3 linked regions of the Diceros bicornis minor genome follow. The protein of the gene in region 1 interacts with the protein of each later gene in a pairwise test. Links are inferred from orthologs where the notes say so. Each region holds a gene or a part of one and is shown in the gene's direction. Other genes may lie near its edges.

Region 1 (4,097 bases):
AGAAGTAGCCGTTATGGTGGTTGGCTTTTGGGAGATACATGGGGAGGGGTGAAGTCTGCGAAATACAGGACAAAGTCTGAAATTGTTTTATAAATTATTGTAAGTATATAAGCTATTAAGTGACCTAATAAGCAAGAAGAGACTTTTTCAAGGACCAGCATGGGAACAGAAGAGTCACTTCAGAAAGTATTGTTCCGAAGTTTTAGTCAGAAGACTGAGAATCCTAAATAGACAAACTTTTGGCCCAGAACTTCGGAGTGTGTGGAATTCTGCTTTGGTGAAAGATCCATTTTATTGTCATCCCTTCCTTGACAGCGAAAACCAAGGTCCCCAGATACGAGGCAGAGCTCCAGGTTCTCTTTACTAGGGCAGAGAGGGGGGCCTGGCGGTCTGGTAGGTCGCAACCAGCTGATCCCTCCAGCACTTCGTTTTTGAGAACACCTGTCCGATGCCAGCTGGACCCGGGAAGGGGCCAAAGGTGCCGGGCTGCTAGGATCCTCGTCTTTCCGGGTGGCAAGACATTTGATCCCTCAGCAACAAGTTCCCGGTTGCTCTAGGCGCTTCGTTTTCAGTGACGCTGCTGACGCCGTTGGGCCCTCGGCCGGGAAGGCGCGGCTCGAGTGTAAGGCTGGCAAGGGGATGCTCAAACCGTCTTCCTCCAAGACGAAACAAATGGGGAGTAGTTGTAGGCGGTCTGGACAGTTCAGCAAACTGCCGTGAATTCCTTGGGGAATTCCGGGAGGAACATAGCTCAGTGTACTCCGAAGGTCCGGCGCCGATAGGTCGAGGGTGGGGGGAAGTACCATTCGCGGCACCCTGGCCCCGGGGGACAGCTTCCCTGCCCCACGCAGCCAATAGCCAACTTCAGCAGAGACCCACGCAGCCAATGGCCGGCCCAGTGCGTTCCGCGGTGCCCGCCTGCCCGCGCCCACCAATCGGGACTCGGGCCACCTTGGCACCGCCCCCGGGGCCCGCCCCACCCATCCGCCCCGCCTCCAACTCGCTGGAGCAGGGCTGGGCTAGCCGGCGCGCTCTCGGTGGCGGGGGGGGCAGTCCCGGTCCCGGCCCTCCGCACGGGTGGGCTCGGAGCAGGCCGCACCGGGCGGGAACCCCACTCCCACCCCGGAGGCCCTCCTGCCCTTTCTCCCCCTTCCCCCCGCGGCCCATGGTGCGAGGCTGGGAGCCGCCGCCCGGGCCGGACCGCGGTGAGTGATCCCCAGCCCCTGCGACTTCCCCTCCCAGCCCCTGTACGATCTCCGACCTCCGGAGCCCCATCCCCGCGCTGGGGGGAGGAGAATTCTAGGTTCGAAGTCGCCCGGTTTTCCCTTCTCCTCTGGACTTTTCGGTTCCCTGTTGTAACTGGGGGAGGGCGAGTGGGTGTGTAGGGAGGAGGGGAAGGCTGGGTGGGACGCCCTTGGCGAGGGGAGAATTGAGATTCGCCTGCTCCCTGGGGCTCATCGCCCCAAGTGCAGCAACTTTTTGTTCTCTGACCCAGTTTGGAGCCTTCTAGACTGCCTGTGAAATGGTGGATAGGAGAAACGTTTCCTTCCCAGCCCTCCCCCCCACGACTACCTCCTGGTGACCTCAACACACGTACAGAAACCTGGCCTTAATTCTGGGGAGCAGTGGCCTTTGGGAATGAAAGGTTTAGGAGAAACTGCCCCTTCTGACCCCCTACCCAGCCATACTCAGAAAACCAACCAGGAAAGTGAGAACCCCAGTCCTCAGAGGTTCCTGGTGTTGCGTCCTAGTCTGAGACTTCTAAACTGAAAGAAGACTCAAGCTGAGACCTGTGTGGTAATGTGGGCCCTGATCAGATCTTGTATCATATGAACCTCCTCCTCACCATACATTTGAAGTCCTTTTATATTATATGATTAAGATAGGTAGATGGCAGTAACTGAAAAAACCAAAACAGCCAGTTCAAGTTGGGAATTTTTTAAATGATGCAAATAAATATCAAGCATTGTCATTAAAAGTACGTTCATTTCACCAATCTTTTGGGGTAGTGTCCAGGCGTGTTCTTTGTGTAAGTCTGCTGGTTGGAGTTCCCAATTGCCTTTCTAGTATAAACTACACAAGCAAATCTCAAATCTGGCTGCACCCTGAGAACTTTTTAAAACTACTGATGCCTGGGCCCCAGTCCAGACTAATTAAGTCAGAAAGAGTAGGAGGATGCCTGGGTTTAAGTTTCCCAGGTAATTCTAATGTGCAGTCTTGCCGCTCATCACCTATGATTACCAGGTGTGGTTTCTTTAAAGTGGAGTGAGAATTTAAACACTTTTAAGGCAATCTGAATGCAGAATACTTTTGAGATTTTTAAGTCACCTTAAAAAATCTTTTACAGTTGTCTTACCTACTCTCAACAATTTTTAAAATGTACACTCTTTTGTATTGTCTTTCCAAAGCATTTGACTTTGTTTTCATAGGAAAAGTTTTTAATGCACTAATTTTTCATAGGTTTATGTGATGTTTAATTACATTATTATATAAATACAGAAAAACAACGGGCATAACCAGGTTTGGAATCACACACAGCTGGCCCAGGCACACAGGGCAGCTGAAGGAAACAGATGATTTTGGCACACTTAGAGAGAAGCCTCCCCGGCTCTGGTGTCCAGTGCACTGTGGGTAGTGGTCATGTAATCCAGTGGGTCAGTTAAGCCAGGCTCCTGGCCTGGTTGAACACTCCTCCCTTCCACTCTCTCCAGCTAATATCACCAATACCCAGTCCCTTCTAGGCTTATTCAAATTCTCTTGAGTCTTCCATCCACTCTTTCCATCCCAGTTCATCCCAGAACTTTTTGTTCTTCTTTAAGCAGTTACCACCATTGCCTTTATTAAGTTTTGAGGACATAACACAACACAGAGGTTCTTAACTTGGGCTTCTGGGCAGCCAGTGAACCCCCTGAGATTATATATGTAATGTGTAACTGTGGATGTTTATTGGGGGGGGGAGGTAGTCATAACTTTCTAAGGTGCTTTTATCTGATTCTCAAAGAGGTTCATGATCCAAAAAGTTAAGAAGCACATCAGTTGAAAATCACTAAAAGTCCTTTAACGCCCTTACAACTGTATCACCAAAACACATTTCAGGCCTTCTTCAGTTCTCTGAATAAGATTTAGGGGATTTAGCAGGATCATATCTAGTGTCCCACTCAAACTTTCTCCTGCTTTAATCATAAGCCTAGGCTCAAGCCTAAAGTTCCAAATACCCATTTTTCTAGGATTGTGTGAACACCTAGATAAGTTTAAGGCAGCCCATTCTTTTCTGCCATCTGCCCAGGAGTATGGAAAGCCCAAAGGGAAAGAAGTGTTTTATCCTGGCTCTTTATTTTTAATTAGTGACTTTAAGTAGCAGTAGGACATATCTGGCATATTTAATAAGGATACAAATTTAGTAATTGCTCAGACTTGATAATCCCACCACCCCTGCCACCACCTCTGCCCACCACCTCTTTCTCCAGCTTTGATTCCCTTCTTTTCCTGCCCTCACCAAATGGAGGCACAAGAACACAAGACACTGTAGTGTCTTCACTGTGGTTTTGATTACCATAACGTCTACCCTACTTGTTAGAGTTCTCATGAGCCACTCTCTGGTTGTAGTTTCTTCCTAATTCAAAGCCAGATTCTTCCAGCGAGGTACCAGCTATATAGCTGTGCCTTGATTTAAGCCACCATTCTATATCAAAAAGTCTTCCACAACTTGTGTTTTGTGTAATTGGAAAACTGTGGATATATATAGTACACCAAATATGATGTTTGCATTACTGCACGTTACATTGAAATATCAAGCTGATCCCATGAGAATCTGAGGGATCACAAACCACATGAATGAAAGCAAAAATGCCTCCTGTAGGCTTCTCACTGCCTGCCTTATGTTCTGGTTTGGCAGTCTTCATCCTTACACTGGACTGCTTTATTCCTTATGCTACATTTCCTTCTTATCTAACGTGTTATTGTGTCAGTAAGAACAGGACACAGATAAGGTAAAGTAGGTGTCAAATATTGCAATCATAAAGTATTCTCCAGCTTAGATTTGGTGGTATTCCTGGTGGGCCACAATTTCTAAATGGCTGTGCAAGCAAGTCCTCACA
Region 2 (4,097 bases), on another chromosome or scaffold:
AACACATCTCTAACCAGTTGGAATGTAATTTTTGAACTGTACCTCCTGTTGTTATCTTGACCTTCCTTTAAGAAAAATCCTTACTCCCCTAAATAAGAACTTTTTGCCTTAGAGATGGCCTTAGCAGCCAATCACGTGTAACAAAGAAATAACAGCTGTTGCCAGCAGCAATCACAAGTCTTGCAAAACAACCTGCGTGACTTATCTCTTTTTGTCTTTATAACTCCTGGCCTTCTCTGTCTTCTCCGGAGCACATTTTGGGTTTCTACCTGAATCTGTGTTTCCCAAATTGCAATTCTAATTGCCCAAATAAATATCTCCTATTTAAATTGCAGTGATTCTTTCCCCTGTCGACAGTAACTTTCTCTACCACCCATAAATCGCTCTAATTCTATTCAGGGATGTCTTACCTCTAAGAGCTAAGGGGAGCTCTGGGAACTCCACAGCTGTTAAACCCCTGCATCCCCAGCTCATCCCTGAATCACCCATCTGGGGAGACAAGCCCAGCTCCCTGGGGCTGAGGGAATCCACGGTCCAAGTCCCAACCTTCATTCTGATGCCTTCAGACGCTAGGGGTGGCCCTGGGGTCAAGGCCTAGAGACACCCGGCGGATGAGTGTCTGGGATGGCACGGGTCACACCCCCTCTTGTTGGGTTTCTGGGTCCCCGCATTAGGCCCACTCCAATTCTGGGGGCTGAGTGCCGGGCATACTAAAATCTACAGTTTTCAAAGACTGAACTGCAGGCGCTGCTGTACGAAACGCTCCCCTCTACTCTCCAACCCCAGCCCATGGAAACCCGCTCTCCTCCTGCCCCGCACTTCTCCACCGGCCTTGGCCCAGCCGAAGAACGATCGTTGACTGAACACTCACAGTCCACACCCGAGACGCGGCCCCTCCCGGGAGGAAACCCCTAGCATCCCACACACGAGACCTCTAAGCGTCCTGGCCCCCAGCGAGACGCGGCGGTTCCCACCACAGTAGCTCCGCAGCTCACGGCGTCGCGCTTCCGGGCGGGCGGCCGGCGCGCTCCAATGACGTCACGGGGCCACTTTCCGGCCGGTGGCAGAGTCGGGCTGAAGTTGTGGGGGTCGGGGGCGCCATGGGGGCCACTGGCGACGCCGAGCAGCCGCGGGGACCTGGTGGGGCAGAGCGGGGCGGCCCCGAGCTGGGAGACGCGGGCGCAGCGGGGCAGCTGGTTCTCACGGTGAGGGCGCCCCCGGGGAGGCCAGGGCCGGGGCTAGGCTCGGGCCGGGCGGGGCCTCGGGCTCCCGAGACCCCGGCCCGCGGGCGAGAGAACGCGGCGGCTGGTGCTGCCGAGGGGGTTGGTGTTTTCGCGGTCCGACGACCTGAATTCAAATTCTGGTGCCGCCCTGCTGGCTAGGTGACGTGGGCCGGTCCTGTCAACCCCCGAGCTCCAGTGTCCTCTTTTATAAAATGGAGATGATCAGTGCCAGCCTCATAAAGTTGTGGGGATGGGATATAAATGCGGGTAGAGCGCCCAGCACGTCGTCTCCCACAGAGTAGGCCCTCGGTAACACTGGTTCCCGTCCTCCAGCCCTTCCTGAAAAAGTGGGGTTGGGACTTGAGAAGCAAAAAACTTTTCGTCGGTTCCTCGTCCCTGGCAGGGCCTTCCAACCACCGCCCTCCCGCCTGCCCTACGGTGGGAGAGGTGGTGAAAGCAGCTGAGAAGCAGGGATGTCTAGGTTTAACTTCATATCCACCCTCCACCCCCACCCCAGTGTCACGGGCCTCAGTGACATCTCCCTTGGTCCCCACAGAACCCTTGGAACATAATGATAAAGCACCGGCAGGTGCAGCGAAGGGGCCGCCGCTCACAGATGACGACAAGGTAAGGCTCGCCGTGGGTGGGACTTACCTCCCAGGCACTGGCTTGGATGGCAGTTTGGGGTCGCCGCTGCACAGGGCTGAGAAGAGATCGTCAGCCAGTAGAAAGAGCACTGGACTAAGAGAGAGGAGTCTCAGATTCTGTAACTCTATGTGTGACTTGGAGCAAATCCCTTCCCTCTCTGAACTCATGAACAAAATGAGGGAGAGGGTTGAATTAAACGATGCTTAAGATTCCTGACACTCACTGGCTCCGTGGTTGAGGGCTCTAGAGAGGCAGAATAGGGTGGAGGTTAAGAAAAAAGTGAGGCTGATAGTAGCATCCATTGCAGAGAAGGGAGAGAGCACAAGACGGACCTTTGGGATGCTGATTATGTTTCTTGACCTGGGTAGTGATTAAATGGATGTTCATTAAAAGTGTTGGTTGGAGCCGGCCCTGTGGCATAGTGGTTAAGTTCTGCTTCGGCGGCCTGGGTTCGCAGGTTCGGATCCCAGGCACAGACATACACCACTCATCAGCATTGCTGTGACAGTGACCCACATACAAAATAGAGGAATAGTGGCACAGATGTTAGCTCAGGGCTAATCTTCCTCAAGCAAAAAAAGAGGAGGATTGGCAACAGATGTCAGCTCAGGGCAAATCTTCCTCAGCAAAAAAAAAAAGTATATATATATATATAAAGGTGTATAGACTTTTCGTGTAAGTATTATAGTTCATAAAATGCCTTATCCATTTCATAGAGTTATTATGAGAATGCAATAAAGTCATGCATCTGTGTAGTTTGCACACAACTTGGGCACATAGCTAGTTTTCAGTAAAAGCTATCTATTGTCATTAAGGATCCTATATCAATAATTGGCTAGGCAGACTAGAAAAGGATATGTTTGGGACATGCCTCCTGACTGTGTCTCCTTCCTGAATGCAGTTTCACAGATCCTTCCATCTCCATGGACCTCCTCCGAGCTGTCTTGCAGCCTAGCATCAATGAGGAGATCCAGACTGTCTTCAACAAGTATATGAAGGTGAGAGGGACACAAAGATAAAAAATTAACACGGAGAAAAACTCATGGGCAGTCTTTTCCGGCATCACAGTCTCCCCGGGTCTCTCTAGTATGCAGAGATGTCTAAAGTTTTCCAATTCTGAACCCCTGAGAACTTTTTGCCCTCTTTGGGGGTAATTTGAATGCCTCTTTTTTTGCTCAGCTATCGTGAGGATGAAGTGACTTAATGTACTCAGCACTGTGCTTGGAACATAGCAACTACTTTTATTACTTGTTTAATAATATCACCATTATTACTGTTATTTAAAATTCTTTTCTAGGCCTCTAAATAAACTTCTACATGGCTTTACCTGAATGTCCCATGGTTGCTTCAAACCCAGCATTTTCAGAACTAAACTGTTTTTCTTTGTAAACCTCCTCCTCTTGTGTTTATTTATTCATTCAAGAAGTATTTGCTGAGTGCCTACCATAATGGCAGGCACTGTTCTAGGCACTGGAGGTGTAGCTGTGAACAAAATGAACAATATCCTTGACCTCTTTAAACAAATATGTACTGTGTTAGGGAATGCCAGAGAGAAGAGGAAGAGAGTGACCAGTGGGGAACAGGGTATTATTTTATAGATTGCGGCTAGGAAAGCCCTCTGATAAGAGGATATTTGAGCAGAGACCTGAATAAAGTAAGGAAAGAACAAGGCAGGCAGATACCTGGGGGAAGAGCAGTCCAGGCGGAGAGAACAAGGGCAAAGGCCCTGAGGCTGGAGTGTGCTTGGCACATTCAAAGCAACAAAGTGGCTACTGGGGCTGGAGCCCACTGAGCAAGAAGGAAAGTGGTGGGAGAGGTGATCAGAGATGTAACAAGGGCCCAGCTCATGCAGAACCTTTGGAGCCATGGTAAGGACTTTGGGTTTTATTATGGGTAAAATAGGGGCTCTTGGAGAGTTTTGAGCAGATCGGAACATTTTTAAAGGGTGACTCTGACCGCAGGAGGCCTATTAGGTGGCTTGGGTGTTAGTAGTAAAGATGTTGGGAAAGAGTATCTGTATGTATTTCAAAGGCAGCAAGAAGATTTGCCAGTGATTCTCATGGGCAGGGTAAAAGAAAAAGAAGTAAACGATTCCCAGGTTATTTGCCCTGGGAAGCTGTAAAAATTGAATTGCTATTGACTTGAGATGCAGAAGACAGAAACAAGCAGGGGAAATCAGGAGCTCAGTTTTGGACATGTTAAGTTTGAATGGGATCACCATTCACT
Region 3 (4,097 bases), on another chromosome or scaffold:
ATACACACAAAGGAAATAGACTGGATGGCTATTAAAATTATAAACAATGGAAAAAGTTTCCATCTTCTTGGAGCAGAAAAGGGCTCAGCTACAGAAACATTATTGTGAAGGTCTGTAGAGCTCAAGTCTATGATCTTTTCTTTCTTTCTTTTTTTTTTGTGTGTGAAGAAGATTGGTCCTGAGCTAACATCTGCCAATCCTCCTGTTTTTGCTGAGGAAGACTGGCCCTGGGCTAACATCCATGCCCGTCTTCCTCCACTTTATATGGGACACCTGCTACAGCATGGCCTGACAAGCGGTACATTGGTGCGCAGCTGGGATCTGAACCTGCAAACCCCGGGCCGCCACAGCAGAGCTCGTAGACTTAACCACTTATGCCACTGGGCCGGCCCCACAAGTCTGTGATCTTAACCACTACCCACGTTGTCACATGGTTATGTCCACTCTGGCCCCTAGTTTGATCTCTCAGGAAATGCAGAATGAATCTACTTCCATACTTCAATGTCTGAGATTGAAGAAAACTCGCATGTCCTTCCTGAATCTTTTCTTCTTTGGCTGAACATCCCCAGTAGGGCAATAAGAAATCCTTTCAAAGCTCTAGATGTACTTTTCTTGATGTCAAGACTAGCAGTTCTCAATGGAGGCAGTTCCACCACCTAGGGGGCATTTTAGAAATGTGGGGGAACTTTTGGTTGTCACAATGATTGTTGGGTGCTACTGGCATATTGTGGGCAGGGCCAGGGCCACCAAGAAGGATTTGGATACCTGTGGAAAAAAAAAACGGAGGCGGGGGTGTGCAACAAGGGCAGACAGGCAAAAAACTTTTACATAGGATTTTTATTAATTTGCAGTGTAGCAGGGCTCTGTGCCCCCATCCTCATCACCAGCCTGATAATTAGTGCCACCATCCCCTGTCTCATTGATCCTTACCAGAGATGCTAGATGTCCTAGAAAGCAAGGGACAGCCTTATACATTGAAGAATCTCTGCTCATCCCGCACAGCCTCAAATATCCAGATGTGCATTTCAGGTATGTGAAAACCTTGTTTATGATGATCTGAGTCTAGAACTCTGTCTTATATGTAATCATAAAATAGTTTTTGTAAAGTTTTAATATACTGTAAGTTTTTCAGAAATGCAACTTGTTAACTGAAGGAAGATTATACTTTCTTTCAATCAGAACTTGACTAAGAGTTATTTGATGTTTCAGAAAATCATATCACACACAACAATGTCCTGTGTGGTATCTGTGCCCCCAAATCAACCTACATTTACAGCTCTCACTAGCACAGTGATTCTGCTGAGAGGAGCAAACATCTGACCACTTTATCATGTTTTCTAGAGTAGTTGTGCCCAAGCATATGCATAGTGAACACACTGACATATTTAATTTACAGTGCATATATATTATTTTATTATAAGTTAACTTTCATTTTATTTCTCCCTTATTAGGTTAGGTTAGTGTCTTAGACCATTCAGGCAGTAACAAAATACCACAGACTCGGTAGCTTATAAACAACGGAAATTTAGTTCTCACACTTCTGGAAGCTGGAAGTCCTAGATCACAGTGCCAGCACGGTCTGATGAAGGCCCTTTTCTGTGTCGCAGACTTCTTGTTGTATCCTCACATGGTGGCAGAGAAGGGCCTAGTGATCTCTCTGGAGCGTCTTCTATAAGGCACTAATCCCATTCATGAGGATTCCACCATCATAATTTAAGCACCTTCCAAAGGCCTCACCTACTAATACCATCACCTTTGGGGATGAGGATTTCAACATAGGAATTTTGGGGAGGACGTGAACATTTAGACCATAGGAGTTAGTAATTTATGTTTTTTAGTTATGAGCTAGTGAATTATGTATGAATTTCATTTCAGAGTAGCAAAAGGGATGTTATATAATATTTACTATAATGAGAGATAAGTATAGTACTTTATGTGTTAGCTTCCTATTGCTGCTATAACATGTTATCACAAACTTAGTGGCTTAAAATAACACAAATTTATTATCTTACAGTTTGGCCCTTTCCTCCATCTTCAAAGCCAGCAATATAACATCTTCAAGTGTCTCTCTGACTCTTACCCTCTTGCTTCCATTGTCATATCTCCTTCTCTGACTCTGACCTCTCTGCCTTCCTCTAGTAAGGATTCTTGTGGTTTCTTTGAGCCCACTCAGATAATCCAGGGTAATCTTCCCATCTCAAGATCCTTAACTTAATCACATTCACAAAGTCCCTTTTGCCATGTAAGGTAACATTCACACGTCTGGAGATTAGGACCTGGACATCTTTGGGGGCCATTATTCTGTCCACCACACGTTAATAATGTAATACTTGTTGGTCTGATAAGGTTGAGACTCGCAAATATAACTAAAGCACTGGGCTTGATGCTCCCTCTCTCTTTCTGTTCTTGGGGCAGGTAGATTTCTTCCTTGACCTTGGCTTTCACTGGACCTGTTCCAGGGGTACAGTGTCTGGAGAAGAACAGCCTAATCCCTGCCAGGCTGAGCTGCTGGCCCTTGAGGGAAGGCTCTGGTTATTGCAAGGCCTTGAGTTTCCAGGCACTGTGGGTCCAGGCATTCATTTGAAGCTAACCTGGATTAAAGAACTCCTTTTTTTTCTTGGGAGCATGTAATGTTTACTTTTGGGGGCACCCAACTTTAAATGTCTTAAGTTGTTTTGCTCTTTGGGATACATCAGAAGTCACCGAGATATTCTCCAGCTCTAGGGGCTTTGTGTTCTTACCTAAAAATCAGGATACACAGTCTGACGAAGGATTTTCCATCTGCTTCCAAGAGTCAGAGAAGTTTTAGGAGATGCAGTTTGGTTGAAGACAGAATTTCTAGCACATCTTGATAGTTCAGGGAAGATAATGTGATAGAATAAATAAAATATAATAAAATAGTTATCGTTTAATGAGTTCTTTATGAAGTGCCAAGCATGTGCTGTGTCCTTTATACCTATTATCTCGTTCGACCCTTACAGCAATCCAGGGAGGTAGAAGTGATCGCCCTTGTTTTACAGGTTCTAATTCAAAGTCATAGTGGTGGGCTCAGAATTCATATGCAGATCTATCTGGCCCAGAAGCCAGTGCTTGTGAACTCCTACACTCACAGAGATCCAGGGCACCGGGTTCTTGTAAATAGATGTATCCCCAACACTAAAAATGTTGCTTGGAAGATAAGCCAGAGCTCCAGATCTGCAGGAGTTTTTTCAGCTTCAGTGAGAGCTGCCTGGCGTGAAGAATGGTGGCATTTAGTTTGGTGGGGATTTTAGAATTGTCTCTCCAATGTCCTCACTCCTGGGTAAGAAGAAGGACAGAGCACATTGGTATTTTCCTGGCAACAAATACATGTTTAAGGGAGATTTGATACAAAGATAGAAATGGGGATTTTTATTTTCAAGGCCTGCCTTCTGTCTCTACCAGTCTGCCTCCAGCACACCTGCATCCTCAGTGATGCCAAGAGCAGGGAACTCTCAGACGTCCATACCCTGGGTGGGGTCCTGGGGGAGCCCCAGATAGTGTTGGAGAGGAGGAATGCCCCTTGGAGCCTAAATAGTACTGTTATGTAATATGCCAAAGGGGTCAGTTTAGCGTCTGCTGCTCTCTGCGAACAGTCCACCCATGGGAGAGGGAACTGGGGGACAAGGGGCCCATCTCACTTGACAAAGTGCGAGCCTGACTGCTGAAGGATTGCAGAGCAGCACACATCACCTTACCTCTTCTCTTGGACCATTTCAGCTGTCTGCTTTGGATTGACAGAGGCATCTGGCTGCTAAAAATACCCTACTGACCAAGTAAGCGCTCCCTATTCCAACTACAGCTGAGCACAACTGCCATCCAGGACTGAGATTCTTCTTGCAAAGAAACTCTTCAGAAGTGTTCAGGCCCAATCCCAGAACCACACCAGCCCATGGTCATTTTCTGCTCTGTCAGCTTTGCTGGATGATGAATGAGACCCTTCCCAGATCACCGTGCCCTTGCCTGCCCCATCCCTGCCTCTAGGAAAAGTGGTGGAGGGGGAGGTGAGGACCCAGTGTCGAGAGGGGGTAGGGAAGGGGAGGTGCTTGTCCGTTTATAGGCTTGCTCTTTGGGATGCT

The links. The genes of interacting proteins can lie anywhere in the genome.
Region 2: the proteins of HOMEZ (region 1) and DNTTIP1 interact in binary tests that used the Homo sapiens proteins (3 or more experiments, as listed by UniProt). The two-hybrid records come from large-scale screens. The link is inferred for Diceros bicornis minor from reciprocal best matches to the Homo sapiens genes HOMEZ and DNTTIP1.
Region 3: the proteins of HOMEZ (region 1) and SMYD1 interact in binary tests that used the Homo sapiens proteins (3 or more experiments, as listed by UniProt). The link is inferred for Diceros bicornis minor from reciprocal best matches to the Homo sapiens genes HOMEZ and SMYD1.

Annotation. Positions count from the first base shown.
Region 1 is NC_080744.1:24,541,207-24,545,303, forward strand, and holds the start of HOMEZ (homeobox and leucine zipper protein Homez), read left to right. Parts: upstream 1-1,023; 5' UTR 1,024-1,165; coding exon 1,166-1,205; intron 1,206-4,097. UniProt on the Homo sapiens protein: May function as a transcriptional regulator.
Region 2 is NC_080758.1:15,553,851-15,557,947, reverse strand, and holds the start of DNTTIP1 (deoxynucleotidyltransferase terminal-interacting protein 1), read left to right. Parts: upstream 1-1,093; 5' UTR 1,094-1,100; coding exon 1,101-1,205; intron 1,206-1,779; coding exon 1,780-1,850; intron 1,851-2,772; coding exon 2,773-2,869; intron 2,870-4,097. Other genes in the region: WFDC3 (WAP four-disulfide core domain protein 3), read right to left, coding at 872-918. UniProt on the Homo sapiens protein: Increases DNTT terminal deoxynucleotidyltransferase activity (in vitro). Also acts as a transcriptional regulator, binding to the consensus sequence 5'-GNTGCATG-3' following an AT-tract.
Region 3 is NC_080751.1:3,157,090-3,161,186, reverse strand, and holds the start of SMYD1 (histone-lysine N-methyltransferase SMYD1), read left to right. Parts: upstream 1-1,050; 5' UTR 1,051-4,097. UniProt on the Homo sapiens protein: Methylates histone H3 at 'Lys-4' (H3K4me), seems able to perform both mono-, di-, and trimethylation. Acts as a transcriptional repressor. Essential for cardiomyocyte differentiation and cardiac morphogenesis.